3 linked regions of the Rattus norvegicus genome follow. The protein of the gene in region 1 interacts with the protein of each later gene in a biochemical or structural test. Links are inferred from orthologs where the notes say so. Each region holds a gene or a part of one and is shown on either strand. Other genes may lie near its edges. The genes, in order: Ubc, Ubqln2 and Faap20.

Region 1 (3,600 bases):
GCTAGCTGCCTGACAGGGTTGCTCAGTATTGAACTCTGGAAGAAGACCTGCTCTTACTGCTGAGCCATCTCTCTACCCTAGGGATTCAATTCTTACCTTCTAAGGTCTCAGGCCTTACATTTCAAAAACCTGAATAGGCTGAATTTTACAAGTGGGGTATATGTTTGCTGTAATCTGAACATTGTACTAAACGTGTACTTTTTGTGTGTGTGTGTGGGTTTTTGTTTGGTTTTGGTTTTTTTCAAGACGAGGTTTCACTGTGTAGCCCTGTAGACCAGCACTTAGAGGCAGAGGCAGAAGGATCTCTGTAAACTTGAGACCAGCCCGGTCTACGAAGCCTATTCCAGGACAGCCAGGGCTATACAGAGAAACCCTGTCTGAACAACAAAAATTAAAAAAATAGGATTTCGATGGGTTCAGTCTCAGAATATGAACAACATTTTGATATTTTGACCTTTCCTTAGTGACAATCGAACAGAAAACAGAACCTTCTCGAATCCAAGGACACCAGACATAAACAGACTTAGGAAGAATCTGGAAAGATCTAGTGCCCACTGGGCTTCAGATCTAATGCCAACAGTTTTCAAGAACTGTGAGGACTGACTGCTTTTCTTGACGAATTCAGATTCGTTTTCCCAAACTGGGGAGAGATCCCCCCCCCCCCCATTTTTTTTATAAAAAATAAAAAAAACCGTTGTCATTTCCCTTGTTATGAGATTTGCACAGTCATCCATCCTGTCACCGTGCCAAAACAAAGAGGGCTGGGCACAGTGACGACCGACTCGAGGTGAGGGAACTTAGGAGCCGAGGCCACCAATGGAATATCAGTGTAACAAGAGCCAAAGCCCTAGGTCCCCCTAACAGAAAGAGGCGACTGGGACCCTTGACGGAGGGGGTGGGGGGTAGTTGGTGGGTCTCCGGCTCGCTTAGCCACAGTGCGCCTGCGCCGAGGTCCGCTCCGGCTGCAGTGATCCCTGCCGGGTTTTAGCGCCGATCACGTCACAGGCGCTGATCCCTCCGCGGGGTCGCGCAAGGTCGCAGTCCTGCCCCTCCACACAAAGCCCCTCACTCTCTGGCCTTCGCAGTGGAACAACCCCATGAAGCGATCTTAATGGTTTTAGCCTGTCGCTTCCATTGCAGAGATTGGACCGGGCATTAAAAAGTAGTCCCCAACCGCATTTCCGCGGAGGAATCCAGGGGTGGGCGGGGCTCCCGATGACTATATAAAGAGACGCCTCGCGTCCCGCAGCTAGTTCCGTGGAGACCGCCAGTTCCGTCTCTACTCTTTTGTGAGGACTGCAGCCAACACCGCTGGTGAGGAGAAAGCCGCCACACCCGGCGGGGGCGGGGAGGCGGGAGGGGGCGAGAGACAGCCCGCGGCCCGGACGTTTGGTTTCCGTGGCCCGCGAGGACGGCTGCTGTCCTGAGGCCGAGGACCGGGCGGCAAGATGGCGGCCAAATGGAAGCCTGAGGGGGAAGACGCGCGGTCCTGACGCGCTGGACCAGGTTGGGGGAAGCAGGCCCGCGAGGCCGCTTGCCGCCGGTTAAGCCGGGAACGTCAGAGGCTTGGGTTGGGAACTGAATTCGGTTGGCGCGCTGTAGGAGCCTCTGATGTGAGAACTGTGGGTATTAGACGGGAGGGAGATGTCGGTTATCCGGAATTCGTCGGTTGCTAAATACAGGAGTGCGATTGGGAAGGGAGGGGGAGGGTGGCGGTCCAGCCTAGCCTATCGCCCCTGTGACGTCGCGGTTTGTGTGGTCTCACAGTGTATAGTGACGATGGCTTTAGCTTTCCCTCAGTTGTAGGACCGGGTTTGGGTCTCGGCCTCGGGTAGCCTCTCCAGAGTAAACAGGAACCGGAAATTCAGAGGGGGAACGTGAGCCTGACTTACATTGAGTCTTTCCTTGTCTCGCTACACGGATATGGCTGCGGAAACTATTTATTAGACAAGGGTGTTTTTTTTTTTAAGATTTATTTCTTCAGGGGTTGGGGATTTAGCTCAGTGGTAGAGCGCTTGCCTAGGAAGCGCAAGGCCCTGGGTTCGGTCCCCAGCTCCGGAAAAAAAGAACCAAAAAAAAAAAAGATTTATTTCTTCAGACACACCAGAAGAGGTGTGATCAGATCTCATTACAAATGGTTGTTAGCCACCATATGGTTGCCGGGAATTGAACTCGGGACCTCTGGAAGAGCAGTCAGTGCTATTAATCACTGAGTCATCTTACCAGCCTGACAAGGGTTTTAAACTTTAAAAAAATCTCTGCCTCTACCACCCATGTGATGAGGTCCAAGGCCAGTGCCACTTACCCCAGACTACTTTTTTTTTTAATAGAGTTTATTCAGGGCATGGGAAGGGGAGTTGAGGAGGGAGTAAAGCTGGTCGGAACATGTGGAGAGAGAGCAGGGAGGAGAATGGGGAGAGAAGGGACAGATGGGGTGAAAGTAAGAGGTTAAGAGGATAAGAGTAAGAGTAAACTACTGTTTAATTGTTCAGACAAAAGCTTGGGGGAAGGAGAGTTGAGGCAGGATCTCACTGTCTCAGGCTGACCTCCCAATTCACGAAATCTGCCCACCTCAGTGTCCCCAGTGCTGGGAGGAAAGATATGAACATAGTTCAGTTTTGTAGTAGTAACTGGCTCTATCTACCAGTCGGGACCTGAATCCGGGATTTCCAACTATTGCCTTCTAAGCTCTTGAGTTTCTGACTTCTTTGGAGTGGGTCCTCCTAAACCCCCCTCCCCCAAGGTGAAATGTGGGTCAGGCTTTTCTCCAAACTGCAAATAGTCAGGGACTGACTTTCAGCAGTTCCGTACTGAACGCTCCACCCTGCCAACTTGGTAATAGACAATGCCTAATATTCATAACTTTGTTCCATCAAGACTTTTATTTTCTTGTTGGTTTTAGGGGGTAAAATTCAAAACAGTCTGTGTAGCTATTTAGACTAAACTACTAGCCACCTCACAGATCCAACGGTTGGTGGCACTCTAAAGAATTTGTGTCATTCCTGACCTGTTTTTTGGTTTTTTGTTTTTTGTTTTTTTTTCCATAGACAATGCAGATCTTTGTGAAAACCTTAACTGGTAAGACCATCACCCTGGAGGTCGAGCCCAGTGACACCATTGAAAATGTCAAGGCAAAGATCCAGGACAAGGAGGGCATCCCCCCTGACCAGCAGAGGCTGATCTTTGCAGGCAAGCAGCTGGAAGATGGCCGCACCCTGTCAGACTACAACATCCAGAAGGAGTCCACCTTGCACCTGGTCCTTCGCCTCAGAGGGGGCATGCAGATCTTTGTGAAGACCCTGACAGGCAAGACCATCACCCTGGAGGTCGAGCCCAGTGACACCATTGAAAATGTCAAGGCAAAGATCCAGGACAAGGAGGGCATCCCCCCTGACCAGCAGAGGCTGATCTTTGCAGGCAAGCAGCTGGAAGATGGCCGCACCCTGTCAGACTACAACATCCAGAAGGAGTCCACCCTGCACCTGGTCCTTCGCCTCAGAGGGGGCATGCAGATCTTTGTGAAGACCCTGACAGGCAAGACCATCACCCTGGAGGTCGAGCCCAGTGACACCATTGAAAATGTCAAGGCAAAGATCCAGG
Region 2 (3,821 bases), on another chromosome or scaffold:
GACATAATGACTCTATATTTTGTTTTACACTGAGATTTATTGAGGTATTTGTGATGTAATGATTTTGAAATGCTGTTAAATCATCACTAGGTTTTTGTATGGGAAAAGGATTTTCTGTGTTCAAAGCAAGAGAAATAAACATAAATGATTTCAGAATTATTTCTTTTATAATTCAGGTTTTCTATATCACTAATACTCCATTTTTATTTTCTTTATTTAATCTGTAATGATTATGTTCATTTCTGCCACGATTGTGTGCCTGTCAATTTTTACCTTTATTTTTGTCTGAAAATATATTTGTAGTTTTTAAAAATCATAAATGCAATGCATATTTATCCATAAAATTGAAAGTCTTATAAAAATAAAAAATAAGCCTTATTCACAATCTCATCTCCTATTAATAATTACCTTTATCATAATGGAGTCTCACCCTTCAGATTTATTTTTCACACATATAGTCTACAAGCTTTTTGATACTGACACCTACACGCCTGTATTATTTCCATTTGTTAAGAAAAACATAAATCCATAGAAAATATAACCCCAAATATCGTCTATTATTTCCTCCTAACTACAGTGCATTTAATGTATTCTTTTAGAGACACGTAATACTACATGAATTAGCCACCATCTTTTAGACACAGGGATTATTTTATTGTATGGCAAAATCATAGTATTCCTGCTACAGACACATTTAACTAGCTAAACGCTGTGTTTATAAATGCTACGTTGTATGTGTATATATATATATATGTATATATATGATTTTAGAATCGATTATTAGGTCTTTCTAAACAAAGGTGCAAATACTTAAAATGTCCATTTGTATTTTCAAACTGCCCGATTACAATTCCTACTACGACTAGCATGAGAGTGCATTTTCTCGGCTCCTGGTCAACAAGGTTTAACGTTCTCTTTCATCGGCGCCAATATGATAAACCCGAAGGAAAAAATCTCATTGTTTTATTTGAATCCCTTTGATTAGGAGCGAGCCTCATATTTTCAGAAGCCTGTTGGTCGTTTTTAGGCTCCTTTTGTAAAATGCTCGCTCCCGCCATGCCTTCCCTTCCCCCACTCGGGTGCTCGTTCTCCCTTTTTGCTTTGTCAGAGTTCTTTACTATTCATTTTTCGTCCTTTGCCTGGGATCGGTTCAATTCAGGCTTTCATCCTTTCACTGCCTCCCAGATTGCGAACCCACATTCTCCATTGGTCTTTCAGAGGCTGCTAAAGAAGCTGCCTCCCTCTTCCACCTCCCGGCCTCCTCCCTTCCCCCCCTCGCCTCGCCTCGGTCCCCTCGCTTTTCTCTCCAGCCTCCTTCCTTTTCCTTCCCTTTCCCCCTCTCTTTGTTTATTTCTCCCTCCCTCTCCCTCTCCCCTCTTCGCCCCCCCTCCTCTGCAGGGCAGGAGTTTTGCGCTCGGCTGCGAGACGCTCGCTGGGCTGGCGCCGCGTCAGCAGGGGGCGGGGCGCGGCCGGGGGCGGGACGGGGCGGGAGCGCGGGCGCCGCAGCTGCAGGAGTCGCTGGGAGTGCGCGCGGGCAGATCACAAGGCGGCGGCGGCAGAGACGGCCTGCAGGACCTGCTCTCTCAGCCCTTAGCCGAGGCCTACGCCGAACCGAGTGCGCAGCCGACGACCGGGAGGAGCCGCAGCCCTCATCTCTGAGGTACTGTGTTCCGCACTGCCCGCCGGGCCGCCCCAGTCCGCTGCCGCGGCGCCTCCTTCCCTCGCGCCCTCTTCGCTCGCCAGCGCCTTCCCTGTGAGCCTGCGTCACCGCGGCCGCCATGGCTGAGAACGGCGAGAGCAGCGGCCCCCCGCGCCCCTCCCGCGGCCCTGCTGCGGCCCCAGGCGCGGCCAACCCGCCAGCCGAGCCCAAAATCATCAAAGTCACTGTGAAGACCCCCAAAGAGAAGGAGGAGTTCGCGGTGCCCGAGAACAGCACCGTGCAGCAGTTCAAGGAAGCGATTTCTAAACGCTTCAAATCGCAAACCGATCAGCTCGTGCTGATTTTCGCTGGAAAAATCCTGAAAGATCAAGACACCTTGATCCAGCATGGCATCCATGATGGACTGACTGTTCACCTGGTTATCAAAAGCCAGAACCGTCCGCAGGGCCAGGCCACCACGCAGCCCAGCACTACTGCGGGAACGAGCACGACGACCACGACCACCACCACGGCGGCGGCGCCGCCGGCGGCGACTACATCATCGGCTCCCAGGTGTAGCACCACAGCTACTACCACAAATAGCAGCAACTTGGGGCTCGGAAGCCTTGCCAGCCTTGGTAACCTGGGTTTGAACTCGTCCAACTTCACCGAGCTTCAGAACCAGATGCAGCAGCAGCTCTTGGCCAGCCCCGAGATGATGATCCAGATCATGGAAAATCCCTTTGTTCAGAGCATGCTTTCGAATCCTGATCTGATGAGGCAGCTCATCATGGCCAATCCACAGATGCAACAATTGATCCAGAGAAACCCAGAAATCAGCCACCTACTGAACAACCCAGATATAATGAGGCAGACTCTCGAAATCGCCAGGAATCCTGCCATGATGCAAGAGATGATGAGAAATCAAGACCTGGCTCTCAGTAATCTCGAAAGCATCCCAGGTGGCTACAATGCTCTGCGGCGCATGTACACTGACATTCAAGAACCCATGCTGAATGCCGCACAGGAGCAGTTTGGGGGCAATCCGTTTGCCACGGTGGGGAGCAGTTCCTCCTCAGGGGAAGGTACTCAGCCTTCCCGCACGGAGAATCGGGATCCGCTGCCTAATCCTTGGGCACCACCGCCAACTACCCAGACCTCTGCGACGACCACCACCACGACCACAAGCAGTGGCACTGTGGCTGGCAGCAACACCAGCAGCACTACGGCCGGGAACACCATGGCTGCAGCTAATTATGTGGCCAGCATCTTCAGCACCCCAGGAATGCAGAGCCTGCTGCAGCAGATAACTGAAAATCCCCAGCTGATTCAGAATATGCTGTCTGCACCCTACATGAGAAGCATGATGCAGTCGCTGAGCCAGAATCCAGATATGGCTGCCCAGATGATGCTGAGTAGCCCACTGTTTACGGCGAATCCTCAGCTGCAGGAGCAGATGCGTCCACAGCTCCCGAATTTCCTGCAGCAGATGCAGAGTCCAGAAACCATCGCGGCCATGTCAAACCCGAGAGCGATGCAAGCGCTACTGCAGATCCAGCAGGGGCTACAGACACTAGCCACTGAAGCACCTGGCCTCATTCCAGGCTTCACTCCAGGTGTGGGGGTGGGAGTGCTGGGAACGGCCATAACCCCTGTGGGCCCAGTCACTCCCATAGGGCCCATCGGTCCTATCGTTCCTTTCACCCCCATAGGCCCCATCGGGCCTATAGGACCCACTGGCCCTGCCAGCTCCCCTGGCTCGACCGGCACCGGGATCCCGCCTGCAACCACTGTGTCCAGCTCTGCACCTACTGAAACCATAAGTCCAACATCAGAATCTGGACCCAGCCAGCAGTTCATTCAGCAAATGGTGCAGGCTCTCACTGGAGGAAGTCCTCCACAGCCGCCGAATCCTGAAGTGAGATTTCAGCAGCAACTGGAACAGCTCAACGCCATGGGGTTCTTAAACCGCGAAGCAAACTTGCAGGCCCTAATAGCAACAGGAGGCGACATCAACGCGGCCATTGAGAGGCTGCTGGGCTCTCAGCCATCCTAATTCCGTTTCTGTACCTTGAAAAAAATGTATCTTATTTTTGATAATGGCTCTTAAATCTTTAAACACACAAAATCGTGCTTTACTTTTATTTTGATTCTTTTAAATCTGTCTACGTATAAATCTAAA
Region 3 (3,821 bases), on another chromosome or scaffold:
CTCATAGAGACCCTCCTGCCTCTGCCTCCTGAGCACTGGGATGAAAGGTCTGTGCCAGCACCGTTCAAATTAAACTTTTAAAGCCTTTCTTGGCAATACTTCGCAGACAGCTGGGACAAGGTCACTGCTGGGGCTGCTCATTACCCTGCTTCTACCTCCTCAGGTTCTAAAGATGGTTGGATTGGGGCTGGAGCGACGATTTAATGGTTAAGAACATTTCCTTTCTTTCTTTCTTTTTTTTTTTTTTTTCGGAGCTGGGGACCGAACCCAGGGCCTTGCACTTGCTAGGCAAGCGCTCTACCACTGAGCTAAATCCCCAACCCCAGTTAAGAACATTTGCTCCTCTTTGCAAAGGATCCAGGTTCATTTCCCAGCATCCGCATGGTAGCTCGCAACTGTAACCACAGTTCTAGGAGATCCAAGATCTTTTCCCACCTCTGTGGGCAGCAGACACATACCGCACAGATATCTGCTCTCGGATCCTTAGGAGATTAAACTTGCTGATCCTCTTCAAGCCTACAGAGATAGAAGACAACCTCGGTCCGGAATCCATCCCCGACCCTGGCCTGGACACAATTTCCAGGTTGTGGAACCTGGAAGTACTCACAGTAGGGGTGATCTCACCTAAAGATGAGAGGCAAAGTTCTGACTGGAGGAAGAGCCAGGAAAGGGGTTAGGGAGTCAGATGGTTGCAGGACAGGCTTTTGGACCGTCCCTGACCCCTGGGGGCTTTGCAGTAGAATGCTATTAGCGAATCCCAATGCGTCTGTCAAAGTGCCTGGGCTTTTGCTGCCACCAAGTGATGGGTTGCAGGATTGCAGGGCGGGTTATTGGCTAGGTAGGAAACCGGGGATTTTCTCTCTGAGCCTTCATCCCCTGGGCTTTGAGGTTTCATTGCCTCTCTCTTTGGTAGAAAAACCCAGTTCCTTCTATAAGAAGAAGAGGAAGATGATGGCAAAACTGGACTTGGGAATCTGGCCCTGTCCATGGGGCCCTCCTGAGAAAGGCCAAAGAACTGGAAACTGAGGCAGGGCATTGTCTAGTACCACTGGGAGGTGCCATCAGCAGGGCAAGCCTGACAGTTCTCAGCACGTGTTGACAGATGGGAGCCCAGGCTCCAGGGTCTGCACAGGGTCGGGTGGGTCCAATCTCGCACCCCTGCAAACTGGAGGTCAGCTCCACGCTGTCGCGACTCTCCCTCAAGGCGGCAGCCTCGTGTTCCCAACGGTTGGGATCTCGGCGCCTTAGATTTCCAGCGCCACAAAAGGGAGCTGGCACTTGGCAGAGCGGAGAGCGGGGGCTCTGGAAGCCTCCGGAGCGGGTCCCGGTCGGAGGGCGGGTCTGGCTGTAAGTCTCACTTCCGCCGGACGCTCTTAGGAGAAGGATGGAGGAGGAGCGGAGGCTGCGGGGGAGGCTGAGCCGCCGCAGGCCGCCCGCAGGGGGCGGGTGAGGCGGGACAGAGCGGAGGGGTGGGGTCCTGGGGGCTTTGGAAGGAGGTGGGAGCCTGGGAAGGCGGTGGGGACGCCGCGACGTTCCCGCCTAGCTGCGGGGTTCCTCGCACACGTGCATCGCGCTACTAGCCACGCTCCGCCTCTCTCCGGGCGCGGTCGCTTCTTCCGCCCCAACCCTGCAGTCCCCATCGCCACCTCCGCCACCCCTCTTTCCGTCGCCTATTTAGCCTCTCCTTTCGCAGCTCCAGGCTCCATTTCCTCCTAGAGTTCGTTTACCCTTCAACGTGAGGTTCATTCCTGTCCCCTTACTATGGGCTCCCTCCTCCTCCATTACTCCACTGTGGGCTTGCTCCCCACCCCAGCCTTGTTGCCCCTCACTGTAGAACCAACCCTTCGTGACATCTACCATGGATCCCCTGGCTGACCCTTCTTATGATTCCCAGGCCCCCTAACTGCCGCCCCTGGTTTCTCTCGGAGGAAAGTAAGAGTGAGCCGTGGGCTGCTCTGCTGCGCAGCACCGTGGGCGGGAACACGGATTGGACCCCGAACAGTCAGCCATTACCACCGCTGCCTGCTTTTCCCAGCCAGGTGTGTCCAAAAACACTAAGCCGGGATGACTCCGGAGAGGGATCTCAGGCCCTGGGGAGGTCATGGTGTTGGTGGCTATGACCTTAAGGGCACTGCTTTTCAGGAATCTCTGCCTGACCCAGAGTCCACTGTGCCTCCTGAGGTCTTCACTGTAGGATCCAAGACTTTTTCCTGGACGCCTTTTCCGCCTGCCCTTCGTGGCTCTGGAAGCTCCTGCCGCCTGTTACGTTGTCCTGAAGGCTCTCCGGGGTCACCTGCTCCATCCCTGAAAGGATGCCCTGCACTGGATTCCCGTCAAACTCCCAGCACCCAGGAGTGTGTGCAGAGTCAACTTGTGTTGCTGAACTGCCCATTGTGCCAGAAGGCATTTGACCCGAAGTGAGTGTCCCATCCCAGACCTCAGGCTGAAGACTTAGCTGGATGTAAGGCCCACTGGCTTAGGAGGCAAAGAGAGTGCCTGGTGGGGCTCAGGCCTTTTGTTTATGTAACTAATTTTTAAATTATAAATATTTACATACATGTGTGCCTGGCACGCATGCATGTGGAGGTCAGAAGACAACTTCTTGAAGTCTGTTCTGGCCTTCTATCACGTGAGTCCAGGGGTTGAACTCAGGTCCTCAGATTTGCTGAGCCTTTATTTGCTGAGCTTTCTTGCTAGTCCTGGTTAATCAAGCACAGAGTTGGCTTGATTAAATAGCTGTCAGAACATGAGGCAGGTGGGACCCTAGTTCAGAGCCCAACAGGCTCCTCCAGATGATTACAAAAGAAATTGTGCTGAGCTGGAAGTGGAGGCTTATGTGCTTTTAATCCCAGCCTTTGAGGGACAGATGTCTGAGTTCCAGGCCAGCCTGGTCTACATAGTGAATTCCGGAACAGCCAGTGCTATGTAGAGAGAGATCCTGTCTCAAAAAAAATGTGCATATTTATTGTTTGTGTAGTATATGTACATGTTCAGAGGGTTTGTACACAGAGGTGCTAGGGTGGGCTACACAGTGGGCTCAGGATACGCCTGTCTGTCCTGCCACCAGTACCTGTATCACGAATGTATACAGCCTTTTACATTGGTAATGTTTGCATAGAAGGTACGTTACCATTAACTGAGCCATCTTTCTAACCTCCAAAATGTGGCTTTTAAAAAAAAAAATCAGATTCAAGCCTTTATGAATTTGGGAGGGTCCCCAATCCCACCCCTCGACAACAGCTCTCTACTCATACCTATATAGCTGAGACAAGGGGGATGTTGACAGGGCTGCCTTGAGTCAGGTTATGACTGTACCCAACTGGGGTCCTGTTTATGTGACAGTGAGTGATTTGTAAAGCTGACACCTCTGTGCTTCTTACCAATCAAGAGACCCAGGGGCAGAAGCTGAGGGCTTAAGCCCTTTTGGGGAATTCATTCTCGAAGAGCCCATCAGATTCCTGATTATGTCAGGGCTCCCGCTCTTGTTCCGGGACAGCCTTTTGTCTGTGCTGTCCTTTGGTGTGTCTAAGAAAAGACTCTTGGAAGATAGGGCCATTGAAGAGGGGGCTCACTCCATCCGTTGGGTGCTGTTCAAGCAGCCATTTGAGAGCTTGGCAAAGCACCCTGCTTTTTTTTTTTTTTTTTTTTTTTTTTTTGGTTCTATTTTTCGGAGCTGGGGACCGAACCCAGGGCCTTGCGCTTCCTAGGCAAGCGCTCTACCACTGAGCTAAATCCCCAACCCCAGCACCCTGCTTTTTAAGGGTAGGTGTCAGCGAGGTAGGCTCAAGTCTTAGCAAGTCCGCAGTGCTTATAACATCTTC

Evidence for each region.
Region 2: the proteins of Ubc (region 1) and Ubqln2 form a complex in vitro, tested with the Homo sapiens proteins (8 studies listed by BioGRID, with this or other methods). The link is inferred for Rattus norvegicus from reciprocal best matches to the Homo sapiens genes UBC and UBQLN2.
Region 3: the proteins of Ubc (region 1) and Faap20 form a complex in vitro, tested with the Homo sapiens proteins (6 studies listed by BioGRID, with this or other methods). The link is inferred for Rattus norvegicus from reciprocal best matches to the Homo sapiens genes UBC and FAAP20.

Annotation. Positions count from the first base shown.
Region 1 is NC_086030.1:36,899,253-36,902,852, forward strand, and holds the start of Ubc (polyubiquitin-C), read left to right. Parts: upstream 1-1,247; 5' UTR 1,248-1,314; exon of another isoform or gene 1,315-1,877; intron 1,878-3,047; 5' UTR 3,048-3,050; coding exon 3,051-3,600.
Region 2 is NC_086039.1:21,229,898-21,233,718, reverse strand, and holds the start of Ubqln2 (ubiquilin-2), read left to right. Parts: upstream 1-1,490; 5' UTR 1,491-1,778; coding exon 1,779-3,695; 3' UTR 3,696-3,821. UniProt on the Homo sapiens protein: Plays an important role in the regulation of different protein degradation mechanisms and pathways including ubiquitin-proteasome system (UPS), autophagy and the endoplasmic reticulum-associated protein degradation (ERAD) pathway.
Region 3 is NC_086023.1:171,089,780-171,093,600, forward strand, and holds the start of Faap20 (Fanconi anemia core complex-associated protein 20), read left to right. Parts: upstream 1-1,347; 5' UTR 1,348-1,384; coding exon 1,385-1,446; intron 1,447-1,894; coding exon 1,895-2,039; intron 2,040-2,142; coding exon 2,143-2,417; intron 2,418-3,821. UniProt on the Homo sapiens protein: Component of the Fanconi anemia (FA) complex required to recruit the FA complex to DNA interstrand cross-links (ICLs) and promote ICLs repair.